Oryzias latipes: one gene and its partners. The protein of the gene in region 3 interacts with the protein of the main gene of each other region in a biochemical or structural test. Links are inferred from orthologs where the notes say so. Each region holds a gene or a part of one and is shown on either strand. Other genes may lie near its edges.

Region 1 (5,177 bases), on a different chromosome or scaffold from region 3:
TCTACATGAACGCAAAAACAGAAGCGCTTTTTTTTTTAGCTGGAAATGATTCAGGTCGTCAAGAGGTTATGCTGCAAAAAAATAGAATAAATCTTCTCAACTCCCCCAAAAACAGCCCTTGGAGAACAACGTCCCAGGAGAACAATCTGTAGCATCGGCCAGCCCAAACAACCCCCCCATTGCAGACACCCCCATGGAAACATTTTGAAAGAATGCAAATGCTAATAAACAAGAGCTAATAAGCACAAAGCAAACATTAAAAACGTAAGGATTCACCAAATTACACTTAAAAAGGCTAAAAACAAAACATCTTTGACTTCAGGATTTATTATTATTGATCTGAAAAACATCGATTTCTGGTTTTGGTTTACTTCAAACAATTGCAGAAATAAATAAAAGAATAAAAATGGATGTGAAATCCATATGAATTCATGAACAAACAAAATGATGCTATTTTCTTGACAATATTATTCCTCCTCCCCACAAATATCCGTACAGTTAATGACACCCTGAATTAAATATGATAGTTGTCAAATAGAATTTAATTAATAGTTTTAAAGAAAGTGGGAAGATAATTTTTTTTACTTCTATTTACTGTTCAGAAAGTATCTTCTTAGCGTTTTCTCCAGTTCATTCACACAATCATTTCTGTCATCGTTGACTGCGACGACTCCAATGAAAGCGGAGCTCAATTTAAACGTCTAAAAGCTGATGTCTACACACCTTTATCCCTTGTTCTATCTTAGATGACCCCCACCCTTACATTGACGTGTTCTCCCTACCATGACAAAGGTGGATAAAGGTGGAAAGATTTCATGTAATCCATGGACACCAGTGAAGATCACAAATCATTGAAGAAAAAAGGTTCAGACCACTGTCTAGTGGGTCTAGATGACCCAACTCCCAATGTTAAAGTGCCTAGGATAGCACAAGGGTTAAACATGTCCTAAACATCAAGAACACCATTTCTGGGTTAGTCTGGCGGTTTATTCATCTATGGCCTAAGCTGATCCCACACACAGAAGACATCATTGTCCCAGAGCCAAAGATCATCTATACCTTTCTGTACAACAAATAAAGCTTTCCTCGCACCCAGTAAAGGCGGCAGTGGGCTGTTCCTCCATTCTGCTGCTAATTGATCAATTGTCAGCATGTGGTATTTCTTCAAAACCTTCCATCAGAGCATTTTTCTGTTGCTTTGAAACTGCTGATTTATAACTGTTCCCCTCCACCCAAAAAGGAGAATGAGAAGTAATGGAAGCTGAAGTTATAGATATTTTTAATGACCTTAAATTCAGAAAAAAGGCTTTCTTACTACAAACAACATTTCCATCACACTTGAATCCATCAGTGTGTGTAAACAAGCAGACTGTGAGTCCACGTCCCCGTCTGACCACGAAGGGAAGCTTTCATGAACGGCTTCTGGGTGGAGGCGGAGTCTGCACTTCAGGAGCTCCAAGTTCAAGTCTCATTCATCCGTGCCTTCAGTGAACGGCACCGTGTGCCGGCGCCGGCCTTCTGCAGAACGCTGAGGCCTGAAAGCATCGTCTCTGCGCAAACCTCTCAGGACCCCTCCCACCCCCGTCAGAACGGGGCAGTCTTCAGGTGGGTCACTGTCCAGGATCACGACACAGCAGAAATCCCGTCCTGAGTCGGGGAAACACCAGCCCACGTCTGCGTGGGAAGATCAAGAGCCAGGAGTTGACGCTGTTCCCCATCTCAAACACCAGGTGGCAGTGTCTTCTCACAGTCAGGGGGGGCTGCAGTCCGGCTGTGTGTGTTCGCTGAAACACAGAAGAAACCCGGACTTTAAAAAATATCTACAGCGAATTCTACTGAAATGTGCCGACTCAGCCAGGGATCCAGGTTTGTCTCATTTGCAGCTAAATGCTGAACCCAGAGAAGACTAGGGGTCCACAACTGGAGCCCCCACTGTGGCTCTTTGGGCTTGAAGAAATATATCGATGATTTAAATCAACTTCTTTTAGTTCATTTTATTAATTTTAGTTGTTCAAGTGTCAGATAAATGAGCAAAAATCATTTTAAAAGGTTTAATCTACTGGTATTAGAAAAAGCTTAAAGCACATATTCTGATCTAGTCTAGTTTCTGTTTAGCTGCAAGTTACATTTGCATTAATATGCATAGATTTTTAATTAAAATTAGATTCTACAACACTGTTGTTTCTATTCAATAGTAAAAAGAGAAAAAGGACGATGGTGCACCAGAGTTATGATGGAAATGATCAAGTTTGACTTTTTTATTTTAATTTCAGCAAAACTCCTGCAGCAGGAAGATCGTATTGACACGGGATGCATTTTATTTTGAAAGGAACTTATATGTTGTTATATAAATATAAAGAAACATTTTATTAATGAATGGTTAAGTGGCCACAAAAACTTAAAAAAAGTGTATTTTTGTATAAAGTGCAGAGGGTCTTTCTGGGTTTTGTTGGGCTTTAGTCAGTACCTCAAGGCTTTTGTAACCCTTGTGCTATCATAGGCACTTTAACATTGGGAGTTGGGTCATCTAGATCCACTAGAACAGAGGTGGGCACTGAGGGCCGCATTCCTGCATGTTTGCCAGCATACCCTGCTCTGGCATGTTCTAATTGGCTGGACACACCTGAACCAGGTAATCAGCCATGAGTAGGGCAAGACTATCTGGAAATCATGCAGACACACCGGCCCTCGAGGCCTGGAATTGCCCACCCCTGCACTAGACAGTGCTCTGAACCTTTTTTCTTCAATGATTTGTGATCTTCACTGGTGTCCATGGATTACATGAAATCTTTCCACCTTTATCCACCTTTGTCATGGTAGGAATAACGCGTCAATGTAAGGGTGGGGTCATCTAAGATAGCACAAGGGTTAAGGCTGAAGGCTGCAGACCCTGATGTGACTGCAGGGCATTGTGGGTCAGATTGTGTTTCTGCTGTGTAAGCCTTCGTCACACAGACTCACCCGTCACTTTCTGGAAGCGCCTCTTGGCCTCGGCTCGCTCCTCGGAGTCAAAGTACCAAACTGTGATGGCGTACCTGAAAGCAGAACCAAAGGTGAGCCTTCGTCTTTGTACGCACAAACAAATGGAAGCCGATCAAAAACGTCGATCCCGGGCTGTAAATCTGCAGGATTTTACAGTCTTCTATGCAACGTAAGACCAATTTCACCAAACACGACACCTAAATGGCACATTGCTACATCCCGTAAATTCTCGACAGTTAATGCGATCACCATGAATCAGCTGAGCGACATGGATGCTTTTCCTCAGCGTCAGACGTCTAGAATGCCAGTTTAGCTCGTGCTGGTTTGCGGCGCCTTCCGTCCGTGAAACCCGGGTTCGACTCCGGGCTGCTCCCTGTTCCCTTCTCTACCTCTGCCGGTTCCAAGCCCGGTTTGAGAAGGTTGTGTCAGGAAGGGCATCCGGCGTAAAACATTGCCAAATCTACCATGCGACTCGTTCGCTGTGGCGACCCCTGATGGGAGAAGCCGAAAGTGGAAGAAGACGTCTAGAATGCAGAGAGACAACCACAAAACGGCGCCAAGCCGCTTTTCTCCGCCTAGAATCAGCGGATTTATGTTGATTCCACAAGCACTTCACTACTGAGAGGGTAAATTCCCACCAGACGTGTCAAGAACGCATGTGCAGCATGTGGGATTTTAAACACCAGAAGAGACTGGATGGGTCAAAGCGGTGCGAATCGCTGAGGTGATTCTTTCAAAATAAAGCTGTGAGAGACAAAGTTTTATTCTGAAAGTAATTTCCGAATAAAGCTGTGAGAGACAAAGTTTTATTCTGAAAGTACTTTCAGAATAAAGCTGTGAGAGACAAGGTTTTATTCTGAAAGTACTTTTAGAATAAAGCTGTGAGAGACAAAGCTTTATTGTGAAAAAATAACGCCGGAACCGCAATCATTAATTCTCCTCCAGGATCTATTTTTAAACGGTTGGCTCTTCCATGAATTAAAGGGAGACACCATTCAAACGTCACCAACTAATCCAAGTCCCTGATTGGTTAAAGCTCGATAATGTCAGAGCCTGCAAATGATCTTTAAAGCGTGTGTGTGTTCACTAGAGTTCTGAATGTGGAGGCGTGAAACGCTGGTTTACGTAGACTTTGTAATGAAAGTGGTGGCTTGAACGCGCCCTGCTCAGGACGTGTTGCACATCAGCACTTCAGAATCCGCTGGAATGGTGCTTGAGGGTTCAGCGGCAGCAGCATGAAACTGGAGACTGGGGGGGTTTCTGTGGGGAATCGCACCGACGCGCCGGACATTCACCTGGTGGAGAAGGAGGGCTGCACCTCGTGCGGGTTCCTGCGGTCGGACCAGAACACCAGCAGCCGGTCGAACAGCGGCTTGATGTCGGCCACGTATGCCTTCCCGTCGGGAAAGATTCGGAGAACGCCGCCGTGCTCCTGTAGGGACAGAGCCCCGCCCCCCAGCATGAAGTCTTCTCGTCTTCCTCGCCGTCTGCGAAAGAGGCAGAGCTCAGCTCACCTTCACGTTCCAGTTCTTGTTCAGGTAGTAGATGCAGGTGAGGCGGCGTCCGTCGCCGTTCGGGTTGTCCACATGTTTGACGTAACCGGCTCCGTTTCCGGGGTAACACGCCACCATGGCCTAAGGACCGGAAACACACGAGAGGAGGACGGGTCAGAGCAGAGACCGGGTTCAAGCAGACGGCAGAACACCTCACGATGTGACGGAAGCTCAGAATTCAAACCCCACGGACAGCTGCCGTCCCAGTGGAACCTCCAGAACCACAACTGTTCCCAGCTTTGGATCAGTACTTCAACTCAGCCGCTGTGGATTCCAGCAGTCCTGCTGCTCTACAGCGCCCCCATGTGGAGCCACAAGAACTGGTTCACAGCAAAACCTCTGAATCCGGCCGGGTTTGTCTCATTTCTAATCCTTTTTATGACTTTTGACAACATTTGTTTTGATCAAACAAACTTGTTGTTGTTGTTTGTGTCGTCATGAAAAGGAGTTGATGTGAATCCACAACAGACATCCCATCATAAGCTCCTCTTCCTCACTGTCAGAGTGAGGAATGACATGTGGGGGTCAACTGGGGAAGGGGGAGGGGGGGCTGACCTGCCGCCAAATCCACATCCTGGCAGGAAGCAGGAAGCTCCACGTTTGCTCAGGCATGTGCGCACGTGCTCGTGCACGCACAAACAA
Region 2 (4,617 bases), on a different chromosome or scaffold from region 3:
AAACTACTGTCACATTTTTTGCAGCCACTCTGGCAGCTCCATCCGGCAGGAATCCACTCCCACACCCAGCTCCTCATTCCCAACCACCTTAGTGCTGCAGCTGCATCTCTCCTTACTGAGGTTACGTTTCAGGCCTAAACACCCTTCTTAAAAAAAAAAAAAAAAACAGCAATAAATGAAGTAATTTCTTTTATTCCACAGCTGCTTCAGTTTGATGCTGGCTACCGCTTGGGTTCAGGAGGGGGAGGAGTGAGCGACATCAAGTGTCACCCCTTCTTCAGCGGCGTATCTTGGAAAGCTTTGACCTGCTAACAAGATCACTACTTTTGCATATCTGAAAAAGTTGTGCCAACCCGGACTTTAGTGGTTCTGCTGGAGGTGGACAGAAAGGACGCAGAAACTTTCTGTGCTTCCCATGATGAAGAACCGAACAAAGGTTGGACAGAAGTGCGGACACACAGTCTGGAAAGAGGACAATCTACTTAATTTTTAAAATGTACCGATTCCTAACATGCAGTTTTGATCAATGAAATTCTACATACCACACGTGTCATTTCTGCTCATTTCCCTCAGTTATTATACAAAAGCCTATGATAGACAATAAGGGGATTCATTTATTTGATATCAACAAAAACCTAAAGTTAAACATTTTTTAATGACAGCTCATACTAACGGATATTTGTTTTAAAGTTTGGACTTATCTAGAGGAACATCCGTCAATTCTGGATGATGGTTGTCCTAACAGTCATTCTGTTAGGGAATGAATACACCAAGTCTTCAGTCTTTATGAATCACATATAAAACAGAATCATAACATATTCCCGTCAAAAACTTAAATTTTATGCTTAGTCTTATCAAGATTGAATATGGGGAGTCAAGACTTTTTTCTACCATCAAAAAGAATCCATAAATCAGTCATGAGCCGTTTTGTTCCATTTTTTGCCTTATATTCACACTTTAAAAGTAGAAAAGTTTTTGCTGAGTACTAAAGATATAAAGGTAATAGGAGTAAGATACATAAGTCATAAACATACTTAACTTCTTCATGTCTGAATATATTTTAAGCTATATAACAAAAACCATTTTGTTTTCAAGTATAAGCCAAATAAATTAAGGAAATTTTGGACCCGAAGTCGTTTAATGCAAATTTGCATCAAAGTACCGTATAAAGACCATACAGTCCCAAATCCTCCCGCTCAAATCTTTCTTTTTCTCTGGTTTGTTCAGAGGAACTGGATGACATTCAAATCAAAACAGTTGGGTAATGAAGTTTTTATTGTTTAAAACATTTTTTCTTCTTAAATAGTTTCTTACACGGCAAAAAGAGAGGTCTTCTCTCTATACTTCTTTCGCTAGATGGCATAAAATCTCAGTTTTTTCACTTTGTGAGATTTCAAGTTCTGTGCGGATTGTTCTGCTCTCAACCAAATTAATAAAATTACAATATGCAGTTTCATCTGTACTTGCCTTGTCATTTTTACAATAAACAAAAGCATTTGAGATGCATGTAGAAAATGACATATGGCAAACACCAAAGTACTTCTTTTTTTTTGTTTTTTTTAATCTAAAGACCAGCACCAGAAATCTCAGAACTCCGTCCTTCCTTTACAACGGCCTCATATTTTATCACTTCCTCCAATGTTCTTTTCAAAATCAAACTGTTTAACACAGATCCTTTATTCCTAGCTGACCAACACAATACATTAACTGCAGTTAAAGTAATGTTTATCAAGTGCGTAGAGCCACTGCTTGTGCGGACTTTGTTTTCTTTTATTAAGCTTTTTTGTGTTTTTTCCTTTTGGTTGGGGTTGGAGCAGATGTGAGATCACATGTCGAGGAGCAGCACCCTGGGGTCCTCCACTACCGACTTGATCTTACGCAGAAAAGTGACAGCCTCCCTTCCATCTATCAGACGGTGATCATATGTCAGGGCGACATACATCATAGGACGGATTTCAACCTGGAGAAACAAAGAGATCAGTAAATTGTATGTCTTTTACATGCTTTAGAGAACCAGCGATCACATTTCTCTATAAGATGTGAGAGCACAAACCTTCCCACCGACTGCAACGGGCCGGTCAAAGATGCCATGCATGCCAAGAATAGCAGACTGCGGGGGGTTTATTATAGGTGTACCGAACATTGACCCAAAAACGCCTCCATTGCTGATGGTAAAGGTGCCTCCATCCATGTCTTCAACAGCAAGCTCATTTTTACGAGCCTTTAAAGACAAAATGTGAAATTACTCAACAATAACATCTAATATTTTCACATTTTTTTGTTTTTACACACTTGCTATAAAACCTTACCTTTTCTCCCAACAAATTGATCGCCTTTTCAATATCAGCAAAGTTCATTCCTTCAACATTTCGAATGACAGGAACCACCAAACCCTGAAGAAAAAGTAGTCATTTTCTGCTCATTGTTGTTGAAGCAAAAATGTCATCCATCACTTGTTCTTTCATATCAGCGGCTTGTCTTACTTTTGGCGTGGCAACAGCAACGCTGATGTCAACATAGTCCCGGTACACGATCTCTTTGGTTGTGTCATCAATCACTGGAAATATAGCATTAACAAAAATTGGTTAATTGAAATATTTGATAACATTAAGCTGTGGAAAAAACAAAACCAAAGGAACTTCCTCTCAAGACAAGGTTCCTCTGCCATCAACTACTTTCTGTCATGTGCAAGTGAAACCCAAAGACAATTATAGATTTTTGAAGGCAGCAGCACAGACCCCCCGTTTCTCTGTGGTCGACTTAAATAGGTCAGAGCAGTCTAAGTGAAATAAATAAGTTAACACTGGTTTTGAGGTTGGGCAATGAAAAATATTTCCTTCGCTACATACAGACTCTATGACGCCCTACCAAAGACGCTAAGGTGCAGTCAGAGTGAAACCACAAAGCCAAGGCATTGGAGTCTAAAAATTGAATCCAACAATTTCATACCGCCATTTACAGCAGGTTGGTCAGTTAGAGCATAAGCAGCGGCCTTTACAAATGCAGACATGAAGCCCAGTTTGATGTTGTGCTTTTTCAGGAAGGCGTCTTTGTAGTTCTTCCGCATCTCTGAGATGTTGCTGTGGGAATAGAGGAAAGGTACAGAACAATTAAAGTGGTGCAAAGCAGAAAAGAAAGAAAAATACATTAAATTTTAACTACTGAGTTTGAAAGTGGGACTTAAACAAATGCACAAAAAGACAAAGAAAGACGTTTTTTAAAAGAAGAAAAATAAAAGTTCATAAAAAATTAACCATTAGGACAAAAGTAAGCAGAAACATTTTGTTCATGGCTTTAAAACAACACAAAGGTTAATAAAGCTATAGAAATTATCCCGTTAATTGTTTCACAATTGCTCATTTTTCTCTTATATCTATCTTTTTAATTGTTTGTTTTCCTGTCTCTAACCCTGTTGAAGCTCTAGGGTTTCTCCGCTAACATAATTAGCCCCTCCCAAGACACAGACTCTCCGAGAAAGGAGAGAAGAAGCGATAAAAATCTTCACTTTCTAGAGCCTGTAAATCTTATTGGGCTGTCATAAAAGCCCATATCGGTTGAGGCAGCTCTTCCACTCAGTGCGCTGGTCTCTATGGGCCCTCGCAGATGCTCCAGCCTCCTGTTCTGACTAGTTCCTTCAGCTTCAGATTAGCCCTAGCCTGGGAAGTCTTCCTCCAGACCATCAATGTCAATCTAATTAGGATACATAGAAACCCCTGAATAGCCGAAAGCTGACACCACACATTTGCGGGGGAAAGAAATCCTCAAAGTGTCCTTTCCAGCACAGAGGGGCAAGTGCAGACACTAACATTTCCTTCTAAATTAATAAAACTTGTTTTAACAATTCTTATCTTTGTTTTTAGATGGAATTACGACCAAATATTTACATTCCAGCGTTAACAGGATATTGTGTTTCAAAAAGCTTTTCCAATTGAGCAGATTCCAATCTATAACCATTTGTGGAAGTGTTACTTTGGCTTAAAACTAATGTATACAATAGAGGCCTGTAGGTAATGTATTCATATAAGCCCCAGAGAAAATGTTCTTGCACATGTGCAAAAGAGTTGACAGTTGGAAGTTTTTTAACTCCCTCAAAAGTTTTTGCTAACGTGTTCAAATGGTGAAGTGCATCATCTAAAACTGTATTCTGGGTCTGTTTATGTAGGTCATCTAATTAACGGTTTCCTACCTCATGTCGACCTCATTAAATGTTGTCAGCATAGCGCAGGTGTTTTGGGCTTCCTTCAGTCTCTGGGCAATTCTTAGTCTCATGCGATTCATCTTCACCTAAAAGCAGAAAAAATATTCAACAAAACCGTATCGACAAAAGTGAACTTTATGGAACAAATCTCTATATTCGTACTTCAAGATCTTACCCTGCTCTCTGTCCTTGCTGCTTTAGCCCCGCCCTCTGTGTGGGTCACTGGTGCAGCTTGGGAAACAGTGGGCTTAATGGCTGAAACTATGACAGAAGAGTAAACAGGCAGTCAGAACATCCAGACTTTAAGCCTTGGACTGATAATGGGAAGTTAAAGGTCAAGAAAACAGCAACAGGGTTCTGATGTGACCCCTGCTGACTGTTGATGACTCCTAACCTGGTTTAGTGTCCATTGCATGCGC
Region 3 (4,239 bases):
TTTTGTAACACTTGCAGCACAAAACGCTTGAAGTTGCAACAGATTTTTCCACAAGTTGGGATAGTTTAATTGTTTCAACTAAAGGCTGTATGGGGATGTTCAAGCAGTGTTGTATCCTCCAGTTTATTAAGATACGATTTAGTAAAATGTAAAAAAAAAAATAATAAAACCACGACGTTCCTTTTAAACAGGGTTAATTCATTAAATATTTTGTTCATTTCCTTTGTGCAAGAGCAACTGTAAATGATGTAACCACAGCATGAATACATTCATAAAAAAACACTATAGCACTATATTCAGGGTTATAAGTTAAATTGGAACTTTAAAAAAGCACAATTGTTTTGTCTAAATAAATTAAAAAAAAAGGTTTTATTTATTTAAAAGATAAAAAAACAAACATTTTTTGCCGTTTAGATTTTTTTTTGAAAAGTGACTGAAGTCTGAATATGAAATTGTCTTTCAAACAGACATTATTAGAAAGCAGCTGTTTCTGATCTAAAGATGACTTTAGACTAAAAAGACTGGAACCTCTGGCCGTTAATGACTCCTTGGGCTCCAACACAAACCTTTACCTCTGATTTTAGCAAGAAGATTCTCCAACCGTTAGAACGGAACAGATTTCTGCGTTTGCTTCATGCCAGTTAACAGCAGCACCGGAGGAGATGCTGTCACATTAACCCAATGAATCATGGGAGATGTAGTGCTGCGGTATCGATGCCGGACAGACCAGCGTCTCCAAGCTTTGTTATTTTATTCACTTTTAAAATGATCTAACACCGGATCCCATGGGAAGCTACAGCGCTAAACTCGATCTTGAGGGGATGTTTTTGTTGGAACTGAGAGACTTTGAGCCACGGAACGAGGAAGTGAAGACGATAACCACTTCTGATTGGTTAGATTGAAGAATGATGGGCGTAGACCGTTTAAGGGGTGGAACTTTTTCCAAAATGAAAGCAACTGACCAAATACATCATAAACAAACACAAAGAGAACACTCTGTTGTCTGAACCTGAAGGCTTCAAGAACCTGAGGTGTGAAGCACAAACTCCCATCCAGAGGCAACTTCAAGATAGTTTGGTTTAAGAAGCTTCACAGCAGAACAGCTAGAACAAGGCTCAAAGCAGAACCTTACGGACCAGGGCCTACAGTAAAGCTCTACAACTACAAGACATGTGCACACGTTCACCATGATCCAGATCAAAACATCTTATCCAAATTCCTGAATTAAGTCGGACCAGAGAACTAAACCTGTGAGAGCGAGGCCTCCGTCATCTAAAACATCTGCCCTTGACTTCCTGATCGTGCTTCTGCCTCAGGTGTGAGCCTTGATGCAGCAGAGAGGGTGTCTTCACCTTGAAGCATCAGGTGTCCTCCCTCAGCCCCTCCTCCTGATCAGGTGAGGTCAAGACTCACCTTTCAGCTCTGATCCCCTCATTTAACTTTAACGAGTCCGTGACAGAACCTGAGCCGCTGTTTTAGGTACAACGTCTGGGGGGAACACGGCGTTCCACGCCCCTGTTCCCACCTAGACCCCCCTACCTTTTGTGCCTAAATGCCAGTCCGGGGAAGGTTGCAGTTCCTCAAATGACCACAGCAGGCTGGTTTCCCATCAACTCCCATCTTACAAAAATCCAACATGACAGCAGAAATGACCTTCTGACATCCTACACAGAAATGTCGGTATGGGGTGAGGGTGCCTTTTATTAAACTACAGATAGTTTTAGGTCACTTGTGGATTTATCTATCCCTTGACTTTGTGCCAAATGGAGATGCTCAAAAAATTGAAGTGGGGGGAGGAATTCTCACTTTAATTCCGTTCGTAATCTTTTAAGTGACGTCAGAGAATATAGGTCCATTGTTTGTGGTTCCTAAAACCTGAAACTGACATGTCCTACTGTTATCTCAGACAGTGAACGCAACATTCAGTTTGATGGTTCGTTTGTTTACGTTTTATACCTCTGTGTCATTCTGTTTGCCCTCTGAGTTTCAGAAAAGTTCGACTGGACCACAAAGAGAAGCTGGTTGATACTGCAGAACCGCTGCGGACCCGAACTGTGGGCTGGGCGGCCGGCTCACCTTGCAGGGGAACGGCAGGGTGGACGCCACCTTCTCCATGGCCAGGTTACGGATGCTCGGGCTGAGCGGGCCGCGGCAGGTCGGACAGCAGCTCAGCTTCTGCCGGCACGGGTTGCAGACCAGGTGACCCGACTGGCACTGCAGGATGGGCGGCAGCACGTAGTCGAAGCAGACGGGACACTCGAACAGCGCCGTGAGTTCCGTCGGCTGCCCGGGGAGGCCGGCTGCGGGCAGAGACAAGACGGAGGAAGATGCTGCCGAGCCCGACCCGGCCACAGAGCCCACACCGGCGCCGGCGGCCACGGCCGCGGCGGCAGCAGCTGCGGCGGCTGAAGCGGCTCCGTGCTTCCCCCCGCCTGCTTTCGCGGCCCCGAGTCCTCCGGCTCCGGCTGAGGACGGACCGCTCATGGCTCCCAGCTGCGGTCCTAGTCCGACGAGCGGCCGAAGCGGAGGTTCTGTCATCTGCCGCTCACAACCTGACCCAGCAGAGCCAACATGGCGGCTGTCGGTTTGTACCATGACCGCGCGCTGTCATTGGCTGCTTCCTGACTGAATGGCAGGAGCGTCAGCCAATCAAGCTCTGGAGGCGTGTCCTCACACGAATGTTTTTCCTGGAGACCAAAAATATTAAATAAAACCGCTGAAGGAGAAAAGATCCAAGGAGAACAGGACGATCATAAAAATACTGCTTTTAAAAAAGCATAAAAAATATTAACTGATGTTTGTGTGCACGTGATTATTAGTTTGTGTGTGTGCATGTATATAGTGTGGCGACCTGGGGGTTAGCCCTGCCTTCAGCTCCGAAGGCTCATGGGAAGTGGGGAATCTTGGGTGTAAAGTTCCTCACCATGAGTGAGGGCGTTGTGAGCAGAAGTGACCTCCATGCTGTTTGACTGTTTAAGTGGTTTTCAAATAAATAGGCCCTGAATCTAGAAAAGAGATTATGCTTCTCTGCCTGCTTGGGTTGTTACAATTTGTCTGGGTGTGTGATTGTATTATTGACTGGACATGGACCAATGAGTTATATTGCGAGAGGAGACACGCCCACTTCGGAAGCCTAGCCAATGGTGGCGGAGTGCTACGCCACCTTGGTGAGGTCGTCGGTGCCCACATGACAACGCTTTCTAGTTGCAGGACTTCTTACAAATAAAACAATTATTACAAAGAATTTAAAAAAATAATTTTTAAACATTTATAAGTTTTAGACCTCTTTGACATGTAATTTAAATTATTTAGAAAAGCACAACATTAAGTGAATAATAAGTCAGTAATTATAATAATGATATTAATATTAATAAGACATTTTCTATGAGTGACATCACATGCAATCCATCCTGTCATATTAAACCGTCAATGATATGTACTGAGTGACCCATCCCCCTTCGTGTTCCAAACAGGAAGTACCCGCTGGTTCAAAAACAAGACAAAATACCACAGATTCTTTAGAAAAATAAATACTCTGTCATTCTATTTGTCAGATTAATCATTCTATGGCTGCCACCTTTTTAATATGTTTTTGTTTCTTTATTGCAAGGTATTCAAGTTATAAACTGACCAGTCAGAGTCCTCAGTAAAAGCATGTGGTCTCATGTCACATGTTCAATATATCTGATTGACAGATTATCCCAAGCCCGCTTTCTAGTGGAAGGGATGCAGACTTTCAACAAGCTCGCTCCTTATTGGAAAGAGTGGTTGTCATAGATACAAGACTCAAACCGATTCGGACCAATCATTGCTTACTGGTCATTTCTGGTTCCAGCATGGTGGCGTCTGTATCGCGAAAAACTGGTGGCTGAATTGACTCCAGAATTGACTCCAGAAGTAAGCCGTTTTCTATGGGTGACGTCACACTCACTCAGTCCAGTTCTTATAAGGCATCTCCAACCCTGATTAGCTGGATTGAGTGGGCCCAGATTCTGACTGACTGAACACACCCTATCTGGGTGACCAATAATTACAGAAGCAGGGTTAGCTGCAAAACAAGCAGGGCAGTAGCTCACGAGGAACAGGGTTGGAGATCACTGCATGGTCTGTAGCCTATGTGTTTTCTCTTTATATCCATGCTGTTAGTTGAACAAGCAAGACTTCTTTTTTAGTTGCTAAGCGTGTAAATGGGACTCAGTAAAGTTCAGTTTGCTGCAAACAAACACAAAGTCTGAAGGC

Evidence for each region.
Region 1: the proteins of E3 ubiquitin-protein ligase Siah2 (region 3) and egln3 form a complex in vitro, tested with the Homo sapiens proteins (2 studies listed by BioGRID). The link is inferred for Oryzias latipes from reciprocal best matches to the Homo sapiens genes SIAH2 and EGLN3.
Region 2: the proteins of E3 ubiquitin-protein ligase Siah2 (region 3) and dlst form a complex in vitro, tested with the Homo sapiens proteins (2 studies listed by BioGRID, with this or other methods). The link is inferred for Oryzias latipes from reciprocal best matches to the Homo sapiens genes SIAH2 and DLST.

What each region holds. Positions count from the first base shown.
Region 1 is NC_019880.2:24,322,957-24,328,133, forward strand, and holds the end of egln3 (egl nine homolog 3), read right to left. Parts: intron 4,617-5,177; coding exon 4,497-4,616; intron 4,415-4,496; coding exon 4,278-4,414; intron 3,036-4,277; coding exon 2,962-3,035; intron 1,785-2,961; coding exon 1,720-1,784; 3' UTR 1,258-1,719; downstream 1-1,257. UniProt on the Homo sapiens protein: Prolyl hydroxylase that mediates hydroxylation of proline residues in target proteins, such as PKM, TELO2, ATF4 and HIF1A. Target proteins are preferentially recognized via a LXXLAP motif.
Region 2 is NC_019880.2:13,508,398-13,513,014, reverse strand, and holds the end of dlst (dihydrolipoyllysine-residue succinyltransferase component of 2-oxoglutarate dehydrogenase complex, mitochondrial), read right to left. Parts: coding exon 4,593-4,617; intron 4,460-4,592; coding exon 4,374-4,459; intron 4,285-4,373; coding exon 4,187-4,284; intron 3,081-4,186; coding exon 2,950-3,080; intron 2,558-2,949; coding exon 2,484-2,557; intron 2,394-2,483; coding exon 2,310-2,393; intron 2,222-2,309; coding exon 2,054-2,221; intron 1,961-2,053; coding exon 1,826-1,960; 3' UTR 1,258-1,825; downstream 1-1,257. Other genes in the region: rps6kl1 (ribosomal protein S6 kinase-like 1), read left to right, coding at 25-120, 202-312. UniProt on the Homo sapiens protein: Dihydrolipoamide succinyltransferase (E2) component of the 2-oxoglutarate dehydrogenase complex. The 2-oxoglutarate dehydrogenase complex catalyzes the overall conversion of 2-oxoglutarate to succinyl-CoA and CO(2).
Region 3 is NC_019872.2:23,479,506-23,483,744, forward strand, and holds the start of E3 ubiquitin-protein ligase Siah2, read right to left. Parts: upstream 2,801-4,239; 5' UTR 2,596-2,800; coding exon 2,077-2,595; intron 1-2,076. UniProt on the Homo sapiens protein: E3 ubiquitin-protein ligase that mediates ubiquitination and subsequent proteasomal degradation of target proteins.